2 linked regions of the Mus musculus genome follow. The protein of the gene in region 1 interacts with the protein of each later gene in a pairwise test. Links are inferred from orthologs where the notes say so. Each region holds a gene or a part of one and is shown on either strand. Other genes may lie near its edges.

The links.
Region 2: the proteins of Mpped2 (region 1) and Cage1 interact in binary tests that used the Homo sapiens proteins (3 or more experiments, as listed by UniProt). The two-hybrid records come from large-scale screens. The link is inferred for Mus musculus from reciprocal best matches to the Homo sapiens genes MPPED2 and CAGE1.

Annotation. Positions count from the first base shown.
Region 1 is NC_000068.7:106,864,783-106,870,540, forward strand, and holds the end of Mpped2 (metallophosphoesterase MPPED2), read left to right. Parts: intron 1-2,165; coding exon 2,166-2,284; 3' UTR 2,285-3,578; downstream 3,579-5,758. UniProt on the Homo sapiens protein: Displays low metallophosphoesterase activity (in vitro). May play a role in the development of the nervous system.
Region 2 is NC_000079.6:38,032,057-38,039,742, forward strand, and holds the start of Cage1 (cancer-associated gene 1 protein homolog), read right to left. Parts: upstream 4,882-7,686; 5' UTR 4,769-4,881; coding exon of another isoform or gene 4,763-4,768; exon of another isoform or gene 4,732-4,762; intron 569-4,731; 5' UTR 417-568; coding exon 309-416; intron 24-308; exon of another isoform or gene 1-23. Other genes in the region: Riok1 (serine/threonine-protein kinase RIO1), read left to right, coding at 5,405-5,475.

The sequences.
Region 1 (5,758 bases):
ATGGACTACGTGCATTTTCCATGGCCTCACCCTCTCCAGCAGGCAGCCTGGGCTGGACATAGCACGGTGAGAACACAGTGATCCTCGAGCTTTAGTCAAAAGGAACTCGTTTATGAGACGAAACCTCATGAGAAAAGCTCACGCCTATGAGGCTAAGAAATATTTTGTATTGTTGCCTTTTAAGTAGAAAGGCAAGTAGGAGCCCTGTGGCTGAGGTTATTTGAAACAATGAAATCTCTAACAGAAAATGTTCACTGGTTGGTTTCTGTCTTTCAAGGTAAGTTGAGTCAAGACCCCAGAACCCAAAAGATTCACGGAACCTTCAAGGCTCTGGGTTTTTGTCTGCTCTGCCTTTTCAAACCAGGATGTCACTGGGCTTTTGTAGACAAGCAGTGTCAGCTGATCTTGGGGTCTCAGAAATTACAAGACTGGCCGGGGTGTGTATATTTGTACGAGGCAGAAGTGCTTATGTAGGCAGCTGCCATGATTCCCACTGCTGCTCACTGTGGCTTTCTGGGGTTACTTATAAATGTCAGAGTCAAGTTGAGGTGTGTGGGGGCTGTGTGCTTGGTGAAACGGAACGCCAAGTCTACTCCACAGAGTCCACAAGCACGGTGGCTTCCTAGTTAGGCGAGTCATAAAGAGCATATTGAGAAATTATCCTCAGAGGCCAGAGAAAAATCAACTTACTCCAAATACAGGCACCAGCTAACTGGTGGGAAAGCAGGGGTGCAGCTCTGGCAGGAGGCAGAGGGGAGGCATTGGAGCTAGCGGGTGGGGCTGAGTCTCCTCTGCTCCCTAAGCAGGGGTGAGTGAGTATTCTTTAAGAGAGGGAAGAACAGAGAGATGGGACAGCCTATATAAACTGTATTTCCTGGAGGACATGATAGGGGTGGGGCTGTTATCTTGAACACTAGTTTGAATTCCTGTAGGATTCCTTTGAGTTTGAATTTCACCCTTTAAAAGGGGGGAGAGGGGGGCTAAGTCATTAATTTACCTTAAACTGGCCAGACAATTGGAGAATTCCACTGAAGCCCCACAATAATAAACTTGCTTTAAAGGGAAGTGATCATATTCAAATAAACGTGACTTGCTTTTATTCACTTAAGACAGCTAAAGAGGGCAGAGAGAGGGCAAATACCAGCCTCTTGATGGAGAGAGATAACAAGACTTTATGACCCCGGAACCAAACAGTGCACATTTTAAATGCAGCTTTTCTTTTCTTAAGAGATTTTTCCATTGACCCTCATTAAGCTCTCCTCGGGCTTACTTGGAAAAATTTTAGCAAATGGAGCAGGAGGAGGGTGGAGGGATAAGAACCTCATCAGTAATTTCTGCAAGTCCCAGTCATTTTATTTCTCCTTTGCTGTTTTTATATACCACGGAGTCCAGTGTGGACATAGAATTATCGACTCATTGCATAAGCTGTAAGGTGTCCCCGGAAACGTGCAAACTTCCAAAAAGCCCAAAAATGTCAACATGCTAAAAACTATAAAGAAAGTCTACATGCCAGGGATGCCATGACATTGTCTCAGCTTTCATGTTGGGGTGCTTTCCTCTCTGCTCTGTCTGGGTATGGTCAGGAAACGGGGTCCTGTGGAGATGTCTCTACCTCCCGCAGTTGAAGAGGCAATGCTTCTGAGTGAGGGGGACTTAGCGTTAAAGTCACATAACTCAGGTAGAATCAGTGATGTGTGGTTAGTTGTCATGGAGACAGATCGCTGTAGGAATGAGGAAGAACCTCAGCTCTTTCATCTCTCTCCTGGAGCCAGGTTGTGTGCTCTTAGGCTGCCCACTTCCTTCCTGCGACTTAATAGTTAATGCAGGAGTTTGCAATGAAGTTGATACTTGAAAGGTAGGGGAATACTTTCCTTTATTCTCAGTGATACAGCTATCATGTCTTTTGCCTGATGAGTTCAGTGTTTAAGCAAAGAGGACACAGGGAAGAATCACTCTTTGTTGGAGGGGAGAATTCTCCCCCTTTTAAAGCAAACAGCAAAGTTGGCCAGGAGCTCCTGAAATCTGTGGTATCTGGAAAGGCCCACTGAATTTCATCCCCCTGCCCTCTGACAAAGATGTCCTTGTTCTCCCTGCCCGTGGCCCTGTGCTCAACTGCCTCCACCATTTGTGTATACTGCAGTAACTGTGACACTGTCTTCCTACAGGGTACGGCATCATGACCGACGGTTACACCACCTACATCAATGCCTCAACCTGTACAGTCAGCTTTCAACCGACCAACCCTCCAATCATATTTGACCTTCCAAACCCACAGGGCTCCTAAAGCACTCAGCATCCCGTTGGAATGTGAGGGACGGTCTACAAACTGCCATTTTTCTAATTATAAACTCACATTCTCTGATTTGTTTATTTCTAAATCCTGTGAGTTCTTTTTGTAAATTGTTGGAACAGGAGGGAAAAGAAAAAAGAAAAAAAAAAAGATGCTAGCGTTGTGCCGCCTCTTTTTTGCTTTTTTGAGTGGGGTATCCATTTGAAATCAAAGGAACATTGTGAATTTGTAAAATGACTTCTGTTTGCTCAAAGGCCACGCCATTGTAAATTGTTAGTATTTGCCAAAGGACAGCCAAGCTTTCTTTAAAAAAAAAATGATTATTTTAAAAAGTCTTATTTGAATATGCTTTAAGCTGAAAGGAAAAGATTAAAAAAAAAAAAAAGACAGAAAGAAACACAAAAGCAGTGTTTTGAAAAATCACCCAGATTTGCACAACTCTGAGTATTGTTTGATATGTTTTAATTTTCAATGTTTTGTTGTTGTTTTCTTGGTATTGCCTCATTTTTATTTTACAAATGTGGCCCCAATTTAGAGCAATCTCAACAGAAGTTGGTTAGGAAAAACCTTAGCTTCTCTCTGGCTATAAAGAAGACTGTGTCTGAGGTGGGGGAAGAACAGCCCTCATGCAGAGGCTTAGCCAGAGATCCATATCATGATGCTACCAACTCTCACTGTTTGTTTCTTTTAAATTATTTGAGCTTTAAAAATAAGGAAACAAGAATCTGTCAAGAGATGGTCATGCAAGGAAAAAGAAAGTGTGCAGACTCCCTTTCCATGTGGATTTATATATATATATATATAACTATTTTTTGTGCATTACGACTCAGTTGGGAGTTTAATCTTGCCAAGGACAGTACAACTGCAAAGCCACATCGGTAGCAGCACACCAGACGTCTGAAGGAACTGACCCATTCTTTCTTCAAACTCAAGGTCTTAAAGAACTTGAGTCCAGTCTAGGTACAGTAACCAGTGTGTATAGACTCCAGTGGATGCATCGGAAGCGAACTAAATAAGGCTTAGTCGTCCTTTCTATTTAAAGGCCCTGTTTTGTCTTCTCACTCCCCTCCCCCTCCCATTTTGCACTGTGTGTTGATGCAATCTTCGCTAGCACAAAATATTGTTGCTAATAATCCTTTCTGGTCTCCCATTGTCGATGCCATTGAGCGCTATTCTATTTTATGTTACCTTCAAATTTAGGAAAGCAGTTGTTTTCTTTAAATTTATTGTGATACTCTATATCTAGCGGCCTTTATATGCAAATAAAATTGCAAGATTTTTAAATCGGTGCTGCGTGGTTGGGCTGCCTGGGGGAGGGCGGGGTAGGTTTGTCCTGGGGCTAAGATGGTTTATTTACATGCGATTTGAGTAATCCCCTTCTGAACAATTAGAATAGTGGGTTTGTTTTTCTAATTTTTCAATAACTGTTTATGGCCTACCAATCCCAGGCTGTCAGGTCCATTGACAAGAGGTTCTCCCTGCAGCACACTGGGGATCTGGTTTGTCTCGTCTTAGATTGCAGAAGGTGCAGCTTCCATCTTTGGCCACTGTAATGTATGGGGACAGAAAGACTGACAAGGCTGTGACTGCTGTTTGGGATGTGACAGTGGTAGTGAGCAGAGGGCGCCTCAGAGGACAGACACCCTCTCACTAAAACATTCTCATTTATCCTCATGACGTGCAGTGGTCACCCCCACCCCATGGTTTCATTTCTGTTTGAATGAGTCCACTGACATGTTTTTTTTTTTCCAATGAGAAGCTGGGGCCAGTGGTAGGCTGGGGAAATTGTATATACCTCTTTCATTTTGTCTAGATCAGTGGTTCTCAACCTTCCTAATGCTGCAACCCTTTAATACAGTTCCTCATGTTGTAATAACCTCTAACCATATAATGATCTTGTTGTTACTTCATAACTGTTATGTCACCACTGTTATGAATCATAATGTAAATATAGGATGTTCAGGATGTCTGATAGTTGACCCTTGTAGTGGTTGTGACCCTCAGGTTGAGAATAACCATTGAGGAAAAGCACCTTGCTATTGTTGTTTGTAGGGCCTTTGCTTGTTTATAGAAGGTTATTTTGTGTTTTATTTTATTGTTGTTTCCATTTTCTGAAACAGTGTCTCAGATAACCCAGGCTGACCTAGAACTCTGTGTAACAGAGGAGGACCTTGAACTCTTGACCCACCTGTCTCCACTTTTTAACTGTGGGGGTTTACAAGTGAACATCCCCGCACCCCGAATTGCAACAAGATCTTAAATCTGTGCTAAGTCTGTGCCCACTGCATTGCATTTCCGTTCGGTCTAACTATTGTGATTCTTCTGATGCTATTCCTGGAAGGAATTCTTGATTTCAGCACCAGCTGGAACAGTCTTCTTCAAACGACAGCACAAATTCTCATAATTATCTCTGTCCATTTTAGCTGCGTCTCTTAGGCTTGTCCGTTTCTGATCTGACACTGTGCAACGGGTGCGTGGGCTTCCAGACGAGAAGAGTCTGTGACTGTGGGAGCTGAGATGGATGAGGTCCTGAGAGAAGCTCACAATCCTCCCTTAATCTGCTGACTTGGTGTGAAGATTGTTGCCTTGGTGCCCTTTCCTAGGGGATGGACAGAGATGCAAAGTACTGAAAAGACATTTCACCTGGCTGTTAACCATGACGTGAGCTCAGACATCTCTACAAGGCAAAGGAAGATCTCCAGGGATGGAGGGATGGTCCTGAGGACATGGGTGTGTACACAGCCCTGGAAACCACATTTGAGCACCAACAGATTAAGTGAAACACTTGCTAAATTTGCCTTCCAGTGTGTACTCTTAGGAAATGGCCCATTCTGCTATATCTAGAGCATTGGACTGACCATCCACAGAAATTTCTGCAACCAGGCCACACTCCACATGAACTGTTTCTGGGACTTCCGTAAGGACTGTCTAAAGCCTTTTCTCTTGGCATAACATAGCAAGGCATCATTCAAGAATGGTGGCTATCAATCCAGCGCTTTCCATTTCATTATCAGGCAATCTGATGAACAGGTTTCATATTTTATTTTCATCCTCAAATTCTAAGCACTCATAAGCCCCAGGTTATAAAAAAAATCAGCACCACTGCCAACAGAGTCGGTTTCCTTAGGAAAAATGGAAGGTTCTAAGCCAGTTCTATCTGGGTCCATCAAGATGTCCTTTCTGTTAACTCTGCCTATGAACCAAAAAATTTAATGCCTAAAAGATAACAAAAAGCCAGAGGGCCTGAGACATTGTCTGTTCCTCATGTAAGAGCCTACTGAAGTACCTTTCAATGTGGCTTAGTGACAACATCAAATTGGAAGCCCAGGACATCGCAATGGCCATAGATGCTTCCGAGCCAGCCCAAGTCCTGGCTTCCTCATGGACTAACATCAATGTCTTCAGGAAGCAGCGTGCTCTGTGAACTCAGACATGGAGATATCTGCTTGGCATCTGGTAAATAGTGTG
Region 2 (7,686 bases), on another chromosome or scaffold:
TGACTCCTCTTCTGAAGATCCCGAGTTCAAATCCCAGCAACTACATGGTGGCTCATAACCATCTGTAATGAGATCTGACGCCCTCTTTTGGTGTGTCTGAAGGCAGCTATAGTGTACTCACATATAACAATAAATAAATCTTAAAAAAAAAAAGCGAAGAAAAAAAAAAAAGACTGAGAACACTGCATGCACTTTCCCTCTGCATCCACCAGAGATCCTTTATGATCCCTCGTAATTTTGAAAAATAAGTTGTTCATATGAGAGCAATCTGGACTATGTCTCCAAACTTACTACTGTAGATTGCACACCTGAAGCAGGTCTGAGGAGGAGAAGCTGGCTTCCATACAGAAGGGCGAGTCTGAGTAGGAGAAGTCTTGAGAGGGACCATTGACATTTATTGTTTCCGACTCTGACATACTTTCTAAAATTTCATGCAAGTATCCACTTCAAAATGTACAGGAACCAAAGATGAAGGCAATAACTTTCCTTTTTTGTTTTGCACTGCCAGGGATGATGACCAAAACGTGTGAAGAGTCCGTATTTCTAACCGCTAAGTGACAGAAGGCCTCTTTAAAACAAGCAAGCAAAAGAGAAAGACAATCTTTTAGTGTCAATCCATGTGTGCAAAGACTTTCCCTACTTTCCCTTTTCACAGTAAGAAGGCTAAGGAAGGGGCTGAAGAGATGGCTCGGAGGTTAAGAACACTGGCTGCTCTTTCAGAGGACCAGGGTTCAATTCCCAGCACCCAGATTGTAGTTCACAACAATTTATAACTCCAGTCCTGGGAGATATGACACCTTTTCTGGTCTTCTTGGGAACCGAATACATGTGTTATGCAGGCACACACATAAGAACTTCTTGAAAAATAAAGTTCACTACTCTAGATTTTAAAATGCCATTTTCCAACTTGGTATCACAGCAAATAGTGACTTGGCCAAAGTCAAGCCAATGTGTGTAGCTTCTATCTAATAATGTTCTGCAAAGCAAAGAAGTTCTACTATTTCCAAACTACTATCAGAAACTTTTTAGTTTTCACAAAATTTCTATTTATTGCTATTTCAACACACTAAGTCAAATCCAACATTGTACAGGTTTTCCTACCCCATACCTGTTGGGTTTAAATTTGTTTTGTTTTTAAGAGAGGGTCTTTCTCTGTAGCCTGGGCTGCCGTAAGTTCATGGCAATTCTCCTGCCTCAGCCTTCTGATTGCTGGAACTATGAGCTGCCCCCATGATATTCAGCCTCAGTTTCTGCTTTCATTTTGGTCTACCTTCATGACGTTAGACAAAAGTTGGAAACCTAGAGGCATGGTAGAAGTCCTAAATTATCTCCCATAGCTACTGTTATCCAACTCTGTCTGTTTTTCCCTTGTGTATTTGTCCATAATCCACGTGTTCATTCTAGCTCCTGTCCTCACTACTGATCTGTGTTTTGTTGTTGTTGTTTTTAAATATTATGTCTATGAGTACACTGTAGCTGTCTTCAGACACTCCAGAAGAGGGCGTCAGATCCCATTACAGATGGCTGTGAACCACCATGTGGTTGCTGGGAATTGAACTTAGGACCTCTGACAGAGCAGTCAATGCTCTTAAGCACTGAGCCATCTCTCCAGTCCTGATTTGTATTCTTATATTTTTGGTTGTGCACCTAGCTTTTAATGGCTGAGCTATCTATCGCTCCAGCCCCCTGATCTGTATTCTTATACACATCCATCAGGAGATAGGATATGTAGGTGTAGCCATAAAATCCAAATTCTTCTGTTTGTCCATGAGGCATTCAAACCCTACATCCACATCATTTACCCAGTACTACTCCGTACAAAGGGATGCTTTCTAACATCCCAGCCGTCTGACTGAGCCTGTGCCTCTCCTCGAACCTTCCAGAGTTGGCTTCCTGTTGCTATAACAAACAAACATAACCAAAACCAACTTGGAAGGGTTGTGGCTTCTACTTCTGGTTCACAGTTTATCACTGAGGGAACGCGGCAGAAACTCAAGTAGAACTGGAAAAGACCACTGCTTATTGGTTTGCTCATCTACCTTTTTAAAAACAACCCAGGCCCATCAACCCAGGAATGGCCCAGACCACAGTGGGCTGGACCCTCCAGCAACAATACATGATTAAGAAATTGCCCCACAGAAATGCCCACAGGGCAGTTTGATGGAGAGCCCCCAGATCGAGCTTTCCTTTCCCCATGTGACTCAAATAGTGTATGAAGCTGGCAAAAGCCAGCGCACCAACTGTCTAGCTTTACAGTCTCTGTGATGGTATATTTGCGTTGCTCTCTCATAAGTCACCACTGTCTACTGTTCAGTCTTAAGCTGCAAGGGTGTCACTAACTTTCCATATCCACATTGTAATTGTCCAGCAAGGAGTCTAGAGTTTCTCAATACTTCCTGCACACACACCAGTCCTGTTCCATGCCAGCTCTCTTCTTTCTTGGGCCTAATTTTCCTATTAGATGTAATTATGTATGTGCATGTATTTGTATGTCTGTGCATGTCTGTGCTTGTGATTCAAGGAGTCCTGGGAAGCCAGTGGTGTCCCCAGTGGTGTCCGAGCTGGAGTTACAGGAAGAGGGGGGTCACCTGACCTGAGCACTGGGAACCAGACTCCAGTCCTTTGTCTGAGCAGTATGCACTTTCCCAGCTGCACCCACATCTCTAGCCCCTGATTTTCCTATTTACAGTCTTCTCTTTTTACATCTAGTGGGATAGATTAGTTCATGGCTTTTAAAACTTTTCCTACTCACTATGTAAAGTTTACATGCACATAAAGTAGAATTACAAACAAAACACTTACTGATAATAAATTATACAGAAATTTATTTTAAAATTCTTTTGATATACATATAATTTTACTACCTGTTAAATAGGAAAGCAAATTTACATACTAATTAGATGTGTTTATCTGACATAATACCATCCAAAGATATACTATTTTAATATTTATCTGCTGAGAAATGGAACCAGGAAAACATTAGGTCTGCTTTCTGTAATGAAACGATTATTTCTGTAAGACCAGAAAACTGCAATGTACAGTAAAAAAAACTCTGCAGTTCATAATGAGAAGTCCAAAGCCTTGGGAATAAAATTTTCATTTCCTGGGAGGCACACTGGGTTCCCCAGGAGTTGCTGACAATGGGCCTTCAGTCAGATGGCCCTGACTTAGGGAGGCTAAGTCTGGAACTGCTGGAGGCCACCTAGCTGGAGGAGATAACAAGGCCAGAACAGAGCTGGTTTCCAAAATTCTTTGGTCTCAGCAATTACAATGAAACTAGGTTAACAACCAATCAGAATTGTACTAATGTTACTGCGTTGCCCCCCTATTGGAGGTTACCTAATCCTTCTGGAAAATTCTCTTAGCCCTCCATTAAAGGGGTCCATGAGCCCCTCAGGTGGTTGCCGTTTTGATAAATGGTTGGCCCCTGAATGCTGGTAATTTCTTCAGTAAACACTCTTCTTGCCTGTGCATCCTATTTGAGTCTGGGGTCTTCCTTCAGCTATTCTTGGACCCTAACAGGAACATATAAGTTTCAAATCTGAACAGAGGTATTTCAGGCAGTTTGCTGCTGTGAGTTGGTATAGTGGTGAGAACAGTGAAAGCTGTGTGAAGTTATCATGGGTGAATATTGCCCGAAATTTGTCAGATTCACCCCACCGTTTAAATTATGAATCAAGTTTTGGGTGTGGAGAATTTATCATGACTCTCCCCACCCCATTATGGGGCCATGATCTTTAGTTAAGAAACTCTGGTCTACACAGTTAAAACACAGGCTGAAAATACCCCCCATTCTAGTGGCATATTATCAGATTGTCTCAGTCTATCCTTAGTACCTGTCTGCCTGGATGACTTTGTTAGATTACTTATTTACTGAAGACGTTTTCAAATCGATGTCATCATTTGGTAAACTGTAAAAAACCAAGTAGGCTAAGGAAGCTAGGCAGGGCTGCTGGAGGACTCAACCTTGGGCTCACCTTTCCCGTCCTGCAAATAAACACTACCTGTTCGATGACAGGGATGTGTTAGTGCCTTAAATCACTTTCCAAACGCAAAATGTTTCTTTTCCATGGGCCTGTGACTTGCAACTACACTTTAAAAAATGTATGTGCCTGTTTAGTATACCCGTGCCATGTGTGTGTAGGATCCTCTGGAACCGGAATTATAGTAGTTGTGACTGGCCCAACCAGGTGCTGAACCAAGCCACCACCACCCAGGCTTGGTTAGCCATTCTACCTAAATCCATTGTTTGTTTGTTTGTTTTTTTTTTTCTTTTCTTTTTCTTCTTCTTCGAGGAAACAGGGTCTCTCTGTGTAGCCCCTCCTGTCAACAGGTTGGCCTCAAACTCAAGAGATCCGCCTGCCTCTGCCTCCCAAGGGATGGGATTAAAGGCGTGTGCCACCACCGCTCGGCTTGAGTTAAAACCGTTTGAAGATAATGAGGGCTTGTGAGATGGCTGAACAGGAAAAAGCGCGGACGACCAGAGTTCGGTTCCCGGAGCCCAAGGTGGAAGGAGTAAGCCCTCAAGTTATTCTCTGAACTTCACTCACGGAGCACGCATACACAAGCGCGCGCTAGATAATACTTAACATTTTAACATTTAATAAAGGCAGAAAGAGGTGTCACAAGAGTTCCTGCCAAACGCAAAAAAAAACCTTGAACTTCCCAACTTAAAAAAAAAAAAACAACAAAAACCAACCACTTGTATCATTGCATCTCAAAACAACGCACCAACGTTTCTAGAGAGCAAAAGTGTGCTCACTTCCATGATCCATCGAGCTTCTGTGACTCAGGCTAAGGATTCCGGGTTTCCTCCCGGCACACCGGCTCCGCGGGAGGGAGAACACCTTCCAACCGTCCCCACCGAGGGCACCAACTGGTGCGTCGCAGGGCGCTCGAACGCCCCAGTGTGACGTCCTCCGGACCGCACCTGGGTCCAGAGGAAGAAGGTCAGAGGACGCAAGTCTTCAGGAGCAGCCGGAGGAAAAAAAAAACAGGCTGACTTCCTATGACCGTAAACGCCATGGTGGAGCAAGAACGAAAGGCTGGGGAGCAACAAGAGCTACACATCCCACGCTACAAACAACGCACCACGCCCACTTCACATCGCGGATTGGTCTTTCCCGGCCACCGTCACGCGCATGCTCCCTGAGGGCACTAGGGTTTGGAGAGGCCCTGCTGGTGGCATACTTCCGGCGTTGCACTTCCGGCCTGTTGGTGGCCGCGTTTGCCGAAACCCTGTATCCTGACACCCCGGTGGCGCCTGGTCGTTGCCTTCTTGGGCCTGGCGGTTGCCGAGGGATTTGAGGGGCGGGAATCGCGGAGACGCGTTTGGATCCTCTAGGTGGGAAGCAGGCTCTTCCGATCGCGGCCTCAGGGGCGCCGAAGGCTCACACCCCTAGCCATGGACTGCAGTCTGGACAGGATGGCTTCGGTGGTCCCCGGGCAATTTGACGACGCGGATTCCTCAGACAGGTAGGCGGCCGGTGGTGACACAGGGACTCCTCCGATTCCGCCAGCTCCACATTGGGCTCGGGGAGCTGACAGCTGACGGCTTTGGATTTTTCTCGGGGTGAGCAGCTTGTGAAAGCTACCTACCTGTCAGTGGGTCCCGGGACGTTTAGCAGAGAAGCAAGAGTTGGGGACCACTGAGGAAGGTGGGCCTTTTTTTTTTCCTTTCTTTTCTTCATACAGGCTTCCATACACAGTGAGCAAAAGTTTTACCTCTGCGAGTATGATGAACAAGACAAATCAAGTCACTACTGTCTTTTTGGAAAGGAGGGCAAACCAAGAGGCTAGCACCTACAGCGTAGCGGAGAGAATTGAGGCAAAAAAGGGAGGCCAGCCAGGTCGAGCCTTCCAAGTGACTGTGAGGAGTTAAGATCCTGTTCAGGTCTTACAGGCCAGAGGAGGGCTTTTGCAGCGACAGAGCATCCGTCATTTGATTTATGAATTAAAGGAACTGGTGAGTCATGTAGAAGATGTTCGTAGAGAGGAGTGGAGCAGAGAATCAGTAAATAAATAAATAACCAGCTTCAAACCGGATGGCTCCTAGAGCTGCTGTCGTAGAACGACTTCGAGGTAGCAGTGTTGAGGTTTTGTGGTGAAATTGGATGTGAGGTCCAAAAGCAAGCAGTGACGGAAAACTTCCCGTTCAAAAGAAAAGAGAATTTACACATAGCCATTTTGAAACAACAAAGAGTTTTGCGTACCTTATAGTCAGGAAGATTTTATTCATCAATTGTGAGCGGTTGTGATAAGTATATATATTGACCACTCTGTGTGTCAGATCGAGTGGTAGGGAAATATTGGTGACTACCGTTTTGATTGCCACAGGGGTTGGCCTCTGCTAGGGGAGATAGATATTCACACGAGGTAAATTATTTGAATTAAAATTGGTGAATAGTACAAAGGAAAAAAATGAGTGATCAATAACATATGGTAAATAGAGGGTAAGTAGGGCTTAGCCGGAGATGTTGGAGATTTCCAGCCTTCCACTGAGGAATGGGCACATCATCTCAGAGAAATCCTTACGGAAGCGTTTAAGTGGGAAGAAGGGACAAGCTTACTTTGCCCACAGGCCCCATACACGCAGGATATTGTGAGACTGCACCCATGGTCCTCTGCTGGATCTGATTTTGCCATTGCACCAATCCAGAGACATTTTTATATGTCACACCTGGGCTGAGACACTAGTGGTATCTGGTAGGTAGTTCCGCATAAGACAACCTCACAGCAGAGGATTGACTAGTTGAGAGCATTCACATAGTTGTGCCTTTAACATACCTGTCTAGATTATTAGATTTGTAAGTGAAGAGTAATTTATGTATGATACTTATGAAGCCCTAGTAAACTGCAGCTATCAAATGATAGTCTCCTTCCTACTCATGCCCGTGGGCATTTAAAGCCCTGTGGGCTGTAGCCAATTAATAAATTGGAGTTGACGACTGAACTTATTTAAGACCCATTGGGGGCCAGGTGTGGTGGTACAGCGTCTTTAATCCCAGCACTCTAGAAGCAGAAGCATCTGATATTGATGATTTCAAGGTCAGCTCTAGCTTCATAGTGTCTTCAGGGCAGCCAGACCCAACAGGGAGCTCTGTCTCAAACAAGACTAAACAACAAAGGGGAAGGGGGTGGGAGAGGCGGGGCGGCCTGAGGTGCTGGGGATTAGGTCTGTGGCAGAGTGATTACCTAGAGAGGGAAAGGCTCTGGGTCCTCAGAACTAGAAGAAAAAAAAATGGCTCTTTTTATGGTCAGGTGAGGTACACACATCTTTAATCTTAGCACCTGGGACACAGAGGCAGGAAAGGTCAAAGCTAGCAACACTGAATTGAATTTTATTGAATTTGGTGGTAAATATGTTTTGTTTGGAATGTACAATGTTTTAAAAAAAATTGAACCTGGCAATTATGTGAAAAAAATTACATAAATATTGAGTGTTTTAGCTTCTTGAAAAACTAGGAAGATCAGTAACAACAGGGTCTGCATCTTTTGTGAACCTCTCCTCCCTTTGGCTGTACTTTTGTCTCTCTAGACCACTTCTCTTGATAGTCCCCCCTTGTTGTCCTATACTTGGCCCACTTCACTGTGTAGTCTTGGGCCTCTCCATCACTGCTTCCTTTTATAAATAAAGGTGATTTGGAGTTATTTGTGTCTTAGGAGTGTCTTGCTACGGCTCCTGGT